4 linked regions of the Mus musculus genome follow. The protein of the gene in region 1 purifies or fractionates together with the protein of each later gene. This does not show direct contact. Links are inferred from orthologs where the notes say so. Each region holds a gene or a part of one and is shown in the gene's direction. Other genes may lie near its edges.

What was found.
Region 2: the proteins of Stk26 (region 1) and Slmap purify together in Homo sapiens (affinity purification with mass spectrometry; 5 studies listed by BioGRID and IntAct, with this or other methods). This does not show direct contact. The link is inferred for Mus musculus from reciprocal best matches to the Homo sapiens genes STK26 and SLMAP.
Region 3: the proteins of Stk26 (region 1) and Cttnbp2 purify together in Homo sapiens (affinity purification with mass spectrometry; 4 studies listed by BioGRID and IntAct, with this or other methods). This does not show direct contact. The link is inferred for Mus musculus from reciprocal best matches to the Homo sapiens genes STK26 and CTTNBP2.
Region 4: the proteins of Stk26 (region 1) and Sike1 purify together in Homo sapiens (affinity purification with mass spectrometry; 4 studies listed by BioGRID and IntAct, with this or other methods). This does not show direct contact. The link is inferred for Mus musculus from reciprocal best matches to the Homo sapiens genes STK26 and SIKE1.

What each region holds. Positions count from the first base shown.
Region 1 is NC_000086.7:50,840,116-50,844,170, forward strand, and holds the start of Stk26 (serine/threonine-protein kinase 26), read left to right. Parts: upstream 1-1,255; 5' UTR 1,256-1,431; intron 1,432-1,563; 5' UTR 1,564-1,678; coding exon 1,679-1,720; intron 1,721-4,055. UniProt on the Homo sapiens protein: Serine/threonine-protein kinase that acts as a mediator of cell growth. Modulates apoptosis. In association with STK24 negatively regulates Golgi reorientation in polarized cell migration upon RHO activation.
Region 2 is NC_000080.6:26,461,625-26,465,124, reverse strand, and holds part of Slmap (sarcolemmal membrane-associated protein), read left to right. Parts: intron 1-1,408; coding exon 1,409-1,549; intron 1,550-2,726; coding exon 2,727-2,864; intron 2,865-3,500. UniProt on the Homo sapiens protein: Associates with the striatin-interacting phosphatase and kinase (STRIPAK) core complex, forming the extended (SIKE1:SLMAP)STRIPAK complex.
Region 3 is NC_000072.6:18,424,370-18,427,869, reverse strand, and holds part of Cttnbp2 (cortactin-binding protein 2), read left to right. Parts: intron 1-227; coding exon 228-431; intron 432-1,734; coding exon 1,735-1,834; intron 1,835-3,500. UniProt on the Homo sapiens protein: Regulates the dendritic spine distribution of CTTN/cortactin in hippocampal neurons, and thus controls dendritic spinogenesis and dendritic spine maintenance.
Region 4 is NC_000069.6:103,001,577-103,004,414, forward strand, and holds the end of Sike1 (suppressor of IKBKE 1), read left to right. Parts: intron 1-131; coding exon 132-233; 3' UTR 234-2,338; downstream 2,339-2,838.

The sequences.
Region 1 (4,055 bases):
AAGGTAAAATCAATACCATATTTAATATACTTCTACCATATTAATAGAAGGTAGTATGTGGCAGGGGGGCCCAGATTGGACTTCTCAGATGTATTGCTTTTTAATTGCAATATTTGAGTCAAATATTTACTTGGCTGAGCCTTTTGATCTATTTGCTCAGTGGGGAGAAGGCAGTGTGACTCAAGTGAGCGCTTGTCACAATAACTCTTTACAATATACAGAGGGTAAATTTCGGGATCTCTGGGGCAATGAAAACGAAATCTACTACTACTACTAATGTTGATAATAACCAGATACTGTTCTTGGAGAAAAAAATTATTTAAAAAAGAATAGCATTTGTTGAGTGTGCATTGGTTGCACGGGCATCTGGCAAACTTCAAGGTGAGTTCTCATTTTACACATTTACTTGGATCTTATTTTGTCCTGTAACCTTTAGTAGCCCGGGTGTTCACATAGGTGCTTCCCTGAGACTCCTGTGACTGCTATTATTATCACTGTCATTATTGTGTTATTGGGTCCTCCAGAAAGGGTCTGCCTCACTCCTGGAGTTGAACTTAAATTAGAAGAAGGCAGAGAGTTGCAGAAGTCACTGTGCTGCATGCTAAATTCAAATATCTATACTCGGAAAGATGTAATCTCATGCTCCTTGCCTCTGTTATCGTTGTTAAGTTTTCTGCCAATACATGATCCGTTTTCCAATTTGCCTCTCTTTTACACGCGCAGAAATTGTGAGCAATTTCAGCCAGGCCGTTCCTCAACTAATAGCCTAAGGTAAGGACAGACTCAGGTTAAAGTGACTTGAGGCATATCTAAGGGCAAGGAAGCTGAAAATTGCAAGAGGGAAGGAACTTAGGCGTGAAGGAGCAGGTGTCTGGCTCGGTGGCCCCACCCTTGGCCAGGTGGGGGAGCCAAGCAAAACTTTTGCAACTCCAGACCTCTGGGAGGCTACAAGCACCCCAGCCTCGCAAGCCTGTCTGCAACGTGGCCGCATTCATCCGGGTTGCCCTCATCTCCCCTACCCCACTCCCGCAAACTCTTCTGTTCTTTCTCCAGGCTCGGTTATGTTCCAAGTTTTTCGATCCCGATCCCGCCTTTCTGCTGCTCTCCGCAACCCCTGAGAGCCCCGAGCGTCTCCAACTCTGGCTATGTTAGCCAACCCCCTTTGCAGCCTGAAGCCTCAGCTCCCCTGACACCGCCCGGCAGCGGGGTGGAGGCAGGGCCAACCGGGGAACCGCCCCCAGCCGCCTCCCAGCCTAAGCGTTCGGGCGGGTTGCTGGGGTGCCTCCACCTCCTCTTCCTAAAGCGGCGAGGCGCAGCAAAGCGGCATCACTGGAGCCCAGGTCCCAGGCACCGCCACAGGTCAAGCCCTGCATTCAGGAAAGAGAGCAACACTGCAGTTAGCCAAAAGCCAGGCAGGCGAGCGGCAGAGAGGTAGGTAAACTGAGTCCGGGAGAGCAGCGGCGCGAACCGCTCACCTCCCCGCAGGGGGGGGGGGGGCGGAATGGGGGGAGTGGAGGCTGCAAGCCACCAGCCCACTAACTCCACTTCTCTGCGTCCTTCCAGGCCTCGATCGAGAAGCCTGGTAGAGCTGCAGAGATACCTCCGTAGGAGGAGCCAGTCTCTGCCGGAGGCGCCACCGCCACCACCGCAGAAGCAGCGCGAAGTAGCAGTCGCCACCATGGCCCACTCACCGGTGGCTGTTCAAGTGCCTGGGATGCAGGTGAGGAAGCCCAGGCCTCCCGTGCCGCCCACGTGACTGCTCCGAAGCCCCGCTTTGGGCACCAGGCACCAGGGACCAGGGCAGCCACGGGGCAAACCTGAAGGCAGGGCCGGATCTCTCACCAGGTGACCCCGAAGTAAAGCTCGAGGTGTTTCCTGGCGTCCGGGCTAGAAGGTGTTTTGCACTGGAGAGATTGAGGCGACTGGGGAGAGACTCAGTTGGTGTTGGTGTGTGTGTGTGTGGGGGGGGGGGGAGTACACGTATAAAAATAGGCCAGAACCTTAGGCACCTGTACTTGTTGGCTTGTTAATCGTGGCACAGTTGAGGATTCAGCGTGGGGGAGTCCCAGAACTTAACCTCGATGAGATAGAGGCGTCCTGGAATGTGTGGGCTAAAACACCCAAGAGGTGCCCCCACACGGTACACACACAGAGGTTGGGGCGGAGCGAGACCAGGAGTGGTGGAGGCATTGAATTTGGTTCTTCCTGTGTGCAAAGACAGAAGAGCAAGATGCCTTCTTTTCCCCTTTGGTGCCACTTAGAAGCAAACTTCTATCACGCTCCCCTACCTAGCTCAGTGGGTAGTGTTCCAAGGACTGCAGGATCCTGTTCTGAGGGCCTAGGTAATGACTCCACATACCTTTCTCCTTGTCTGTCTGCTAAGGTGGTTGGTACACGTACTTAAGCTTTTGTCCAGCGCAAAGGGGGAAAAAAGTGTGGGACCCAACATTTTACTCAAAATCCATACAGTTCTCCTCCCATTATACTATCGTTTCGTTAAAGAAAATTATGTCAACAAATGTTTTACACATCTTGTTGTTTTTTTAACCACTCTTAACTTTTTAAAGCATTTACATTTGGGGTATCCCCCATGGCAACCTAAATAACCCTTTATGAGTTATAAGTCAGAGGCTAAAAACACTGAGACTGGGTTCCTTATGATCTTCTAACTATGCTAAGTCAAACAAACAAATTATTTCAAGTTCTGAAATGTGGAGACCACTGCATAGCTTACGCTTCTACTAGGAGTCCAAACTTTGTGAATTGGAGTCTCTGTCTACTGCCGCATGTGCTGACTGGTCTCATTGTATTTATGATAAAAATAAAAAGGTGCTTTTAAAAATATCCTTTCTCCTCAAAGGGGTCATTTGTACAGGACATACATGTCTCCTGTATTTAAGGGCAGGTCTGGGTTGAGACTCAGGAAGGGGAGGGAAAGAAATGTAAAATAGAAAGAGTGGGGCTTTTTGTGGTATTAATCCATTTCAGTTTTTCCCAGTGCCCCAAACTTTTTTTTCCTCATGCATTCTCCATCTCTGGCTCTCTTTTCCCTAACTGCTCTGCCCCACACGCCATTCATTGAAGTCTGACTTTGCTTGTATCTGGACAAGTAGTAGTTTGCAATAGGAACTGGTTTTGCTCTGCCTGGTTTGGAACGACACGTGAACTTTCCCCCTTCGTGCACAGCTTTCTATTATGTGGAGACATAGAACTTTACATATGGCTACTGCTCAGAGGCTCCATGCTTCTCTCTCCATTGTGAGCAGGCGCCTGCCTGCATGCGGCCACACTGGTGCCTCCCCTTCATCAACTTTGTGTGATTCTGGGCTACTCAGTGTGATCACCAGAAAAGGGTTCCTGGTCTTTATTTCATTTGGCTTGACTTTATTTGATTTATGTGGTTTCTGGTCTTTATTTAATTTGTTCTGACTTTATTGGATAGAGATGGTTTGCTAAGTGCTCACCGTTGAGCATTGTCACATTGCTCCTTGCTTTGTTTAATTATGGGAGCTAGCTATCTCTTGGATTTTTAGATCTTAATTAAGGTGGGTTGAAATGGGAATCACATATTTGAAATGATCAACTTTGCCTTGCATGGTGTGCCTTCCCCAAGTTATTAATTTGTCAGTCCTTAGCTGTACAGGATAGTCATCTCACATTCAGCAAGCAAAGATTATTGATTCTTGCTCCGCCACTTTCCATCTAAGTGAAGTAGCACGTTATCCAATTATTTTCATTTTTATTTCTAGATGTAGTTCTTAAGCACTTGCTGCAACATTTAAAGAAGACAGCTTTTCCATCTTTGAAATTATACAGGGACCTAAAACACATTCACAGCATGCAGCATGACCCTTTAGCCTAGAATAGTTTTGTTGTATTTCCCAAAAACTATAATGTAGAAATATATTCTGGGATCATAATGGTCTCCTATAGTTTTGTTAGAGTTAGAAGCAAGCAACTTTTAGGTTGTTTAAGTAGCAAGAAATCTTGAATTTGCCATGTGTTCTTTAAATTAATGTGCAATATTTCCCCAAATCAGGGTGGAGTGATTGACT
Region 2 (3,500 bases), on another chromosome or scaffold:
TATGTTAAAACATTTATATAGTCCACAATTCTTTCACATCTTTGTCGCAAAAAAATTCAAGTATACATATAAGTGGGAAGAATTGTGTGATGCATACCTGTGCTCAATTCTGATTTCTTTTTCTATTACAATTGATTGATATTCATTGACGAAGTGATTTGCCTTCTGGAATGTGACTTGATTTAAACTTGGTTTATATAAATGTTTATTGAAACATTTTTCTGAGCCGGTGTGGTGGCGCACGCCTTTTATCCGAGCACTCAGGAAGCAGAGGCAGGTGGATTTCTGAGTTTGAGGCCAGCCTGGTCTACAAAGTGAGTTCCAAGACAGCCAGGACTATACAGAGAAACCCTATCTTCAAAAACCAAAAAAAAAAAAAAAAAAAAAAAAGAAAAAAAGAAAAAGAAAGAAAGAAAGCAAGCAAGCAAGCATTTTTCTGGTTCTTTGGCATGAAGTAGTAGATAATTGGTCTGGTCAGAGGTTATGATACTTGTTTCACCTGTCCACTCACCATGGATGGTTTTGTTCTTCAATCAAAGACATAATCGCAGATGGCTCTCCTTTTAAGATGTTACCATTCATTGATGACTCTTCACGAGGTTCATTATTTCATTAAGGATATTTAACATAGTAATGCAATTCTGCCATTTCTTCATTTACTTCTTCAGAGAGAATTCTTCCTTCATGAACCATCTTATTACTCTGAAGTATATTTTCTACAGAAAAAAAAACAAAACAAAACAAGTCTCCCCCAATTATTTACTAGATTAAAACAGAATAAACTGTTTTTTGGGTTTTTTTTTTTTGTTGTTTTAATCCAGCAGCAAATGACAATGTAGTGCTTTCTCTCTTGCTTAGATTGAAGTACATTTTGGTGTGTTTAAGTCTATACTAGTAGTTATCTTTGTGGATGATCAAATCAGTCTGAGTTTTCTGTGAGTAAATGCTTTGAGGTTGGCTCTCTGGCTCTCTCTCACCTGCTTTAATGGCTCCAGCCGACTGCGAGCCTGGAGGCCCTGTGCTCACCTGCACAGTTTTTGTTCCAACCCTGGACTTTCCTTTTTCCTCACGAAGCTCTTACTGCTTCCGTTTGGGGCAAATGAAATTATGAGCAATGATTTTTGCTTATAACTGAAACTATGATAGCTTCTACAGAATACGAGTAATTAATCTTAATATTTGAGATAAACTATTTGCCTTTAGCTCATTTCTATTGAAATTAGTGTAATTTCTGAAGTATAAGTTACTACTGCAACTTTGAAATACACATTTAGTTAATAGTAGGCCAACATTTGTATTTGTGGGTACCGTGACATTATAATTTTGAGTATTTTAATGAGTTTCTTTCAAAGGATAAACAGTTTTCACAGAAAAGTGACTTGGGTGTGATGTGAGTGTCTTATCCTAGAATCAAACAGAAGACAGTTTACGGAAGGAGCTGATTGCACTGCAGGAGGATAAACACAGCTATGAAACCACAGCCAAAGAGTCCCTGAGGCGGGTTCTTCAGGAGAAAATCGAAGTGGTTAGAAAACTTTCAGAAGTTGAGGTATTTCACTTTTACTGCCATTGTTTTTAAAGATTTGTTTTACTTTTAAAATTATGTCTATGTGAAGTAAGTGTGGGTATTGTGTGCTAGTGAACGTGTCTGCAGAAGGCTGAGGCCTCGAATCCACTGGACCTGGAATTATAGGCAGTTTTCACCCATCTGATGTGGATGCTGGGAACTGAGCTATCATTGCCTGGTCTGGAGTTAGAGCAGGTTGGCCCCTGGACTACTTTTGTCTTCCAAGTGGTGGAATTAAAGACTTGCTGGCACCATGTCTGGTGGGAATTGATCTTTTGTCACATAATTGACGATGGTCACATAAGGCTGAGACGTTACTACTTCAGCCATCCTCTAGAGCAGTGGCTCTCAGCCTTCCTAGTGCTCAGGCCTTTAATACAGTTCCTCATGTGTGCTGACCTGACTCCCAACCATAAGGTTATTTTTGTTGCTACTCCGTAACTGTAGTTTTGCTACTGTTAATTCTAATGTGAGCACCCATATTTTTGGATGGTCTTAGGCACCCTATGAGATTGTTCTGCCCACAGAAGTTAATACCTACTGCTTTAGGGTGGCACTTTATCTTAGGCTTTACAAGTTAATATTGTCCAGGTTCTATGAAAAATCAAAGTGTGATTCTTGTGACTGAGGATCTAGCTCAGTGGGCATGTGCTTAGCATGTGTGAGGACATGGATAATGGATAGTTTGTATTATGGTCTCATTCTATAACACGTGCTTTATGTTCATTGATGTTTGATTAATCTGACATACACACAAAGTTTCAGGTGTCTTTCTGTTTTCACATTAGATGAATTGTTATATGGTTTTATTCTTACTTTAAGGATTGTTGACTTAGAGGTTGAGTGCGATAGAGTGTACTTATAATCACCGCACTTGGGAGTCTAAGGCAGGAGATTCACAGGAGATTAGGCTAGCCTGTACTTCATAGTGAACTTGAAGCCAGCTTGAGTAACATAATATTGTTAAGAGTTACGTTTTAGTATATATGTTGCTGAAATTATTTTGTCTTTTAAATCAGCTTTTTATAAATTTAATCCAAATGTTGATGTAGACTAGTTCAGAACTACACTTTTTACAAATTGAAAATAAAATTGAACGATAAATTTAAAATAAGTACCCATTTACTCTAACTGAATTCCCTGTGAACTTGCCTTGCAGCGAAGTCTGAGTAATACTGAAGATGAATGTACCCACCTGAAAGAGATGAATGAGCGCACTCAGGAAGAGTTGAGAGAATTAGCCAATAAATATAATGGAGCAGTTAATGAAATTAAAGATTTATCTGATAAATTAAAGGTATGTATACTAGTTCCTTTTGTGTTGCTGTGGTAGGATACCATGAACAGAATACTTTATAGAAGGAAGAGGTTACTTGGGCTTGGGGTTCCAGAGGAGCCTTTCACCATCATGGCGAGGAAGTGTGGCAGCAGTCATCTATGGCAGCTGGAGCTGGAAGCTTAGAGATCACTGGGAATGGCTTGAGCCTCTGAAACATCCAAGTCTATACCCTGTGACATATTCCTCCCACAAAGGCACACTTCTTAGACCTACCCAAACAGCATTACCAACTGAGTACCAAGTGTTCAGACATGTGACCTGTGAGGGACATTCTTAATCCAGCCATCACAGCTTCTATGTCAACCACTAGACGCATGTTAGCGTCACTAACGTGCTAATCGCTTAAGACGTTTATTAGTCACTCAAGAGCTGGTGATGTAAAATTGGGTAAAATTAAAAAGTTGAAACTGATAGTGAAAATAGAAAATGTATTCTATTTAGTCTATCCTCTATTATTGTTGAAATTGAAAGCCTTTAAAGTAGACATACTTCTAGATGGAAATGTAGTCAGCACTTCATAACAGCAGATGTAGTGTTTGCTTCAGCATCCCATAGACTAAGAAAAGAACAGCATTTTCTAATATACACTTGGAA
Region 3 (3,500 bases), on another chromosome or scaffold:
CTAAAAATAACATGTCCTCATTAAGGTTAATTTAATTAGCACCAGATAGAAAGTCTGAAAATAACAGTATGGGTTTGTGCTAAGAAAGTATTAACAGATTGATAGTGTTAGAAACCATGTAATCTTCTAGGGATACATGTTCATGTCTCTGTGTGTGTGATTCAAAAAGGAATGGTAGTATCTGTCTCTTCTTCCTGCTCACTAACTAGGGTCACTTTAACCTACAGGCTGGTCACCCTCCCTAACCCCTTTGCTAATGAGTGGTGGTCCTGCCCCCCTGGCTGGCAGGCCCACCCTTCTTCAGCAAGCTGCTGCCCAGGGAAATGTCACTTTATTATCAATGCTGCTTAATGAAGAAGGACTGGACATAAATTACTCCTGCGAAGATGGCCATTCTGCCTTGTATTCTGCTGCTAAGAATGGACATACAGGTAAAAAGCCAAAACAAAACAAAACAAAAAAAACAAACCAACAGTGTCTTACCTTAACATACTTGGCAAAAGTATGGATGACCAAAGGTGATTTAAATCACTGCTGTGAGCAAAGGGTCCTCTTGGATTTCTTTTTTTTTTTTTTTTAAGGAGGAACAGAATGGGGATTTTTTAAAAATAAGTTTTAAAGTCTTATGAATATTTAAGGACCTAATTATATGGCCCCTTACTGTAAAATGTAGAGCCAGTGGTGAATCAATTTTCACAAAGGTACAACAAAATGTATTGTCCATATAGAGATTTTTAAACACACATTAAAATGTAACTCTCCATCCGAGGTCACTCTTGTCAGCACAGAGTAACCCTGATTTCCTTGGTAGCAAGAATACCTGCTGTGGGAGAAGCAGGTCTTCCAGGCTCTTAGGCTTAGGTGTTGAGTGGCTGCCACAGTGAGGCTCTACCAATTAGAAAGAGTGGACTTGTAATAATTTATAGTTATTTAGATTGGTTTTTTTTTTGAGAAGTGAAAACTTACTATAAATGTTATGACAGCAAAGACTAATAATTCTTTTTACTCTTTCAAATGCAAATCTTGTAGTTAACTATACTAAAACACGTGGTAACACAGAAAAAGAGATGGCTTGACTACATGTTCTAAGCTACTATGTGTGTGCACTGTGGACTATTTCCTGCTTGGATCAGATAGACTCGGAGCTAAGGAGACTCAGTACATGTAAAGCACTTTGGAATTCAAAAGGCACTGGGGGAATTTTCTTCACTGTAGAGAAATTAAATTTAGATCATTCAGTATTATTTATGAAAGTTCTGTGTTAGTGATGTTTGTGTCTCAGGTGGCTTTCTGTGGGCTTTCCTTGATCTTCAAGTAGCCAAGTGTAGGATGGCCCACATAGAAGTACTTTGATGATTAGATTAGCATTAATCATTCAGTAAGAATGTAACTATATAAATACAGTTTGGTAAACAGATCTGATTGTCTGCCCCAAAACATTCTTTTGAAGAAAATCAGGCCTAGAACCTAGCAAAGTATTTTTCCGGTACATGGTATTCTTTTTTTAACCCATCAACAACTCTACTGGAAATATTTTTTTAAAACCATGTCTTGGTGGCTGTGGAGATATCCTGTCTTCAGGAAAAGAGATGGCTCTCCATGTGAAAGTCTGTGGCATGCCACATCCAGCAGGACAGAGCGGTCAGGTCAGCCTTTGCTGCTAGATTCTCTGCACAGCTTAGAGGGAACCTGGCTCATCATTGCACTGAGTGACCTTCTGTTAAAATCCTGTAGACTGTGTGCGATTGCTGCTGAATGCAGAAGCCCGAGTCGACGCTGCTGATAAAAATGGCTTCACACCCTTGTGCGTCGCAGCTGCTCAGGGACATTTTGAGTAAGTGATGCTCTTCATTCTTCTTTTCCTATGGAAGTGGACCCCTTTTTAATATTTGGCACAGAGTTCACTCCTGCTAAGTATGTAAATGAGTGGTTAATAGTCATTGAGAAATCCACCAAACATATTTGAGTGTTCAAATGCAAAGAAGGACCTTAGATTTGTTCTCATAATAATAGTTAAGTGCTGTATCTAAAGCAAGTGTGTATATGTCTAGTCTGTATATAATCTGTACATAGATGTATACAATCTGATCTATCCATCAATGAACTTGCTTCTGGAAAAGCTCAACATTAGTATAGCAATGGAGAACAAAGTAAGGTGTGCTGAGAGCTTTGTCTGCTTTCTCTTTTCTATAAAGGCTTTTGTTAGTGCTAACATTAAAGGTAGAACGTAGAATTATATTGTTTACTAAAATCCCGTTATTCTACAGTAAGGTAAGTTATTTGATAGTCCCAAATGCTCCTGTTTCTTCATTCACAATTAAGAGAAAAATCAAAGCAAAGCTTTTGCAAACTGAAAGTAGCTCATGTACAAAGGGAACCTGTTAATTAATATGCACATAACTTTAACCATGAGTTCTAAAGAGCTTCGAAGTCATTAAATACAGGGATTTCTTTTTAAAAACTAAAAGTCCCATTTTAATAATAGAATATTGTCAAATTGCTGTCCTGCGTGTGCTGAGCTGGCAGGTTGTGAGGAATAAATACTGCAGCCACCTTTCAGATCCATCTGTCCAGAGAGAAATAGTCTTGCACAAATTACAGCATCCATGACATTTTGGTTATAAGCCTTAGCCTTCAACAGCTGAGCTACTTCCCCAGCTCAAACTATACCATTCTTAAAAATAAAGCTTTTTAGAATTCACATCAGCACTGTTAATTCTAAGTGTGTTCTCCAGTATTCCGGAGGCAGCCTTCAGTGTCTAGAGTCATTGCTCGTATGTGTCTGCCATGCGTCTCAGCAGCCTGGCTTCAGTTTGGGAACTCACATCAGAGCTACTTTTTGCTGTTACCTTCTGGTTATATTCTGTGTCCCACTGAACAGATCTCTCCTGCTGGCTTGGGTTTCCGTGTCCGTCACCTTCATGTTACCAGGCCATCTGTAAGCTCCGTGCTTGGAGGATGTCACTGTCACAGTACAGAAGCATGGATAGCTTTGGACAAAAAAAAACAAAAAAACAAAAAAAAACAAAACCCTGTGGAAATTCAGGAATCAGTAAATTTAAAGATTGCGTCACACAGATATGTCAGCGTGTTACTTAAAAAAAAAAAAAGTAATAACTTATGTAAGCCAAATGCTGAAAGAAAAATGAACTCCCCAAAGGCAAATCCTTCACTTTGTCCACATTCTATCTCTGTGTTGAACTAATCACAAAGTCGCAGTCGCAGCATGGCCTCCTTTTCTTCTTGAGTGTGTTTCTGTGTAGCTGTGTCCTCAGAAGCCAGCTCCTACCCAAAGAGACAGCCTCTTCCATCCTTCTCTCAAGGCAGCCCTTTTCCCAGCCCCCTGCTCCTTTTTATAGAGGAAGCACACAGTGCTCGGCTGTCTATGCTATTTATAATCATTTTCTTGAGTGAATAAAAAAAAAAATCACAGAATGATTCAGCAGCCTCATGTGTTTTTTTGGGGTTTTTTTTTTGTTTTTTTTTTTGTTTTTTTTTTT
Region 4 (2,838 bases), on another chromosome or scaffold:
TATGTATAATAATAAATAAATCTTAAAAAAGAAAAGCCAAAAAAAAATTTTTTTTTCCTCTTTCTGGGCCAAAATAGTATGTTCTGACATAGTTTAACAATTAAAACACAGGAAATATCTTTTCTCCCCAGCTTGAAAATAAGGAACTTCGAGAGTTACTGTCCATCAGCAGTGAATCTCTGCAGGTTGGAAAAGAAAGCTCTGTGGCTCCTGCCTCTCAGACCATCAAGTAACTGGACTTCCGAAGGCTGGCTACAGCTTGCCCGTCAGAGCGAGAAGCCGTGCCCTCCTCTCCTGCCGTGTCCAAGAGTCCTGCCGCAGACTTGACTTAGTGTTGGGTAGAGGTATGGGGTGGCAGTTTAGAATTGCCACTTGGTATTCATTGTCCACTAACTAGTTTGGGGTGTACTAGTGAAACTAGACAAGTCCCCCATTGCTGGGACAGAGATGACATTTGTCACTCTAGTCCGGAATCTCTATAAACTGTTACCTGCAGTTCAATGTTGTTTTTCACAGCTTGGAAACACTGAACACTTTTATTATAAGCCAGGATTTTATTTTATATAGGATTATAAAAATTCCTTCTAAGAGTTTTTCAAAGATTTAACTTTTTAAAAATACATATTTGGTGTAAACCTAGATTTTTTTTTTCTTCCACTTGTAAAAGTAGCATGACTTCAAAGAAGCAGATTGGCAGAGTCTCTGAGTGACGTCGCTCATCCATGGGGTTTGATCCTCTCCGGTGCTAGGAGTTGGCACTTTGTGGTCAGGTGTCTTTGCTCTTAATTTGAGAGAATCTATTAGTCCCCAGGAAATACGCTTGAAAACAAGTAAGCCGGGTTCGCGTTGCTCCTCCTCCTCCTCAAGGATCCACAGTCATTCAGAGAGTGCTGAGGAACTTGGGCCTGCCCCATCATGCACAGGGAGCTATTAGATGTACATGACTGTACATGTACATTGGACTTAAATGCCAAAAATAGCTTTTATTTATTTGACCAAGTAGTTTTCCATTCTGTCTGCCTAAGGAGTCTTCGGCTTAGGTAGTTGCCTTGTATGAGACATACACATACACACACACACACACACACACACACACACACACACACATACCTCACTCACAGGTTCCTAGCTCCTAGGCACTTTCATGGACACACAGCTGTGCTGTGCTGTGCTGTGCAGAGCAGCACCACTGGGATGGTTTAGACCGGCATCAGTACTTTGCTGTCTTTCCATCTGCTGGGTTTTCTCATGGAAGCATTTTATTACTCACAGAAAGTTACCACATTCCTGATGCCATGCATTCAGGCAATCAAGAACAACCTGAGATTCTAATAGCTCCCTGTCAGTTCCTTCTCATCTTGGTTTGCTCATATGTCAGGTTTATAAATAATTCCTTTTGCACTGTTTGCCCAGATGGACTTTGGTTTTTGTTCCCATGTTAACTTTCACTCCAGCTGCTCCCCTTGATGTTTCCCCTAAGGGCCCCAAGTGTGTACTCCACAAACCCATTCAGGGGTGGGTTCCTTTACCACTTGTCAGCTGTCACAGCAGGTCCCATCACAGTGAGAGCATTATCAGTCAGTCTATTTCAGCAGTGAGCATGGTGTCCCTTTCTTTATCTGCCTTCTGTTCCCGTAGCACTCACTACAAAGGTCTTTGCATCTAGCTTTCAGAGGAATCTCTCCATTGCAGTCCTGAGGGTAGAGCAAGCTTTCGGTGCCCTGTGTCGTATAAATTCTGCCTGGTGTTAGTGCTGTGAAGGCATTGCAGAGCTAGCACATTGAATGGAGAAAGAATGTTTCACACTTGTGTGAAGATGCTAATATCTCTTGCAATGGGTGGAAGTATTTAGTGTATAAAATTTTAGTATGAAATTATATTAACTAATAAAAACCTTTTTGAGAAGATTTGCTCATTTTACTGAGAAATGAGTCTAAGAAGTTGAGCTGGAAAAAAAAAGGAAGTTTAGCTGAGCAGTGGCGATGTACACCTGCAATCCCAGCACTTGGAAGGCAGAGGCACATCTCTTGAATTCGAGGACATGCAGGTTTACCTAGTGAGTCCCAGGAGACTACACAGGGAGACCCTGTCTTGAAAAAAGCAAAAAGAAGTATAGGAGATTTTTTTCACATATTCACATACATAGCAACCATGGCAAGTGTTCATGACATAGATGTCATAAGCAGCTTGCAATTATTCAATATATTCAGCAGTATAAACCTTTGAAAAGCACATTAACAACCTATTCATTGCAGAAGTCCTGAATGTATAATTTACCACTGAAGTCTATTTCCATGTTTCTTAAAATGCACCTAATGAAATAGAAATTTATGGATGGAATCTGGAATTTACATCTTAATAATCATTCCAGAAAACGGCAGTACCGGTTTAAGAACATGTCTGTTAGGGCTAGGAGATGGCTCAGCAGGTCTAAGTGCTTACCATGAAGTCAGATGGCCTGAGTTCAATTCCTCAGAACCCACATGAGGGAAGGAGAGAACCAACTTCTAAAAATTACCTTCTGACCTACAACACACAAACAGATAAATTGTGTATGATGTTCTGTGCAAATTATTTCACTAGGAGTTAAAAACAAACCGACTTTAAAATGAGAAGAGTGGTAAAGGGATATTACAGAGGGGTGGGATATAGCAGCGCTATTCCCCTCTATGCTGCCTGCCCGATAGCAGCAGATAAATTGGGCATGGTGGCACATGCCTGTAATCCCAGAATTTGGAGCAGAAGCAGGAAGAGCAGAAATCCAAGGTCATTCTTGGCTACATAGTAAATTCAAAACCAGCCTGGGCTACAAGAGACCCTGTCTCAAAAAACTAAACA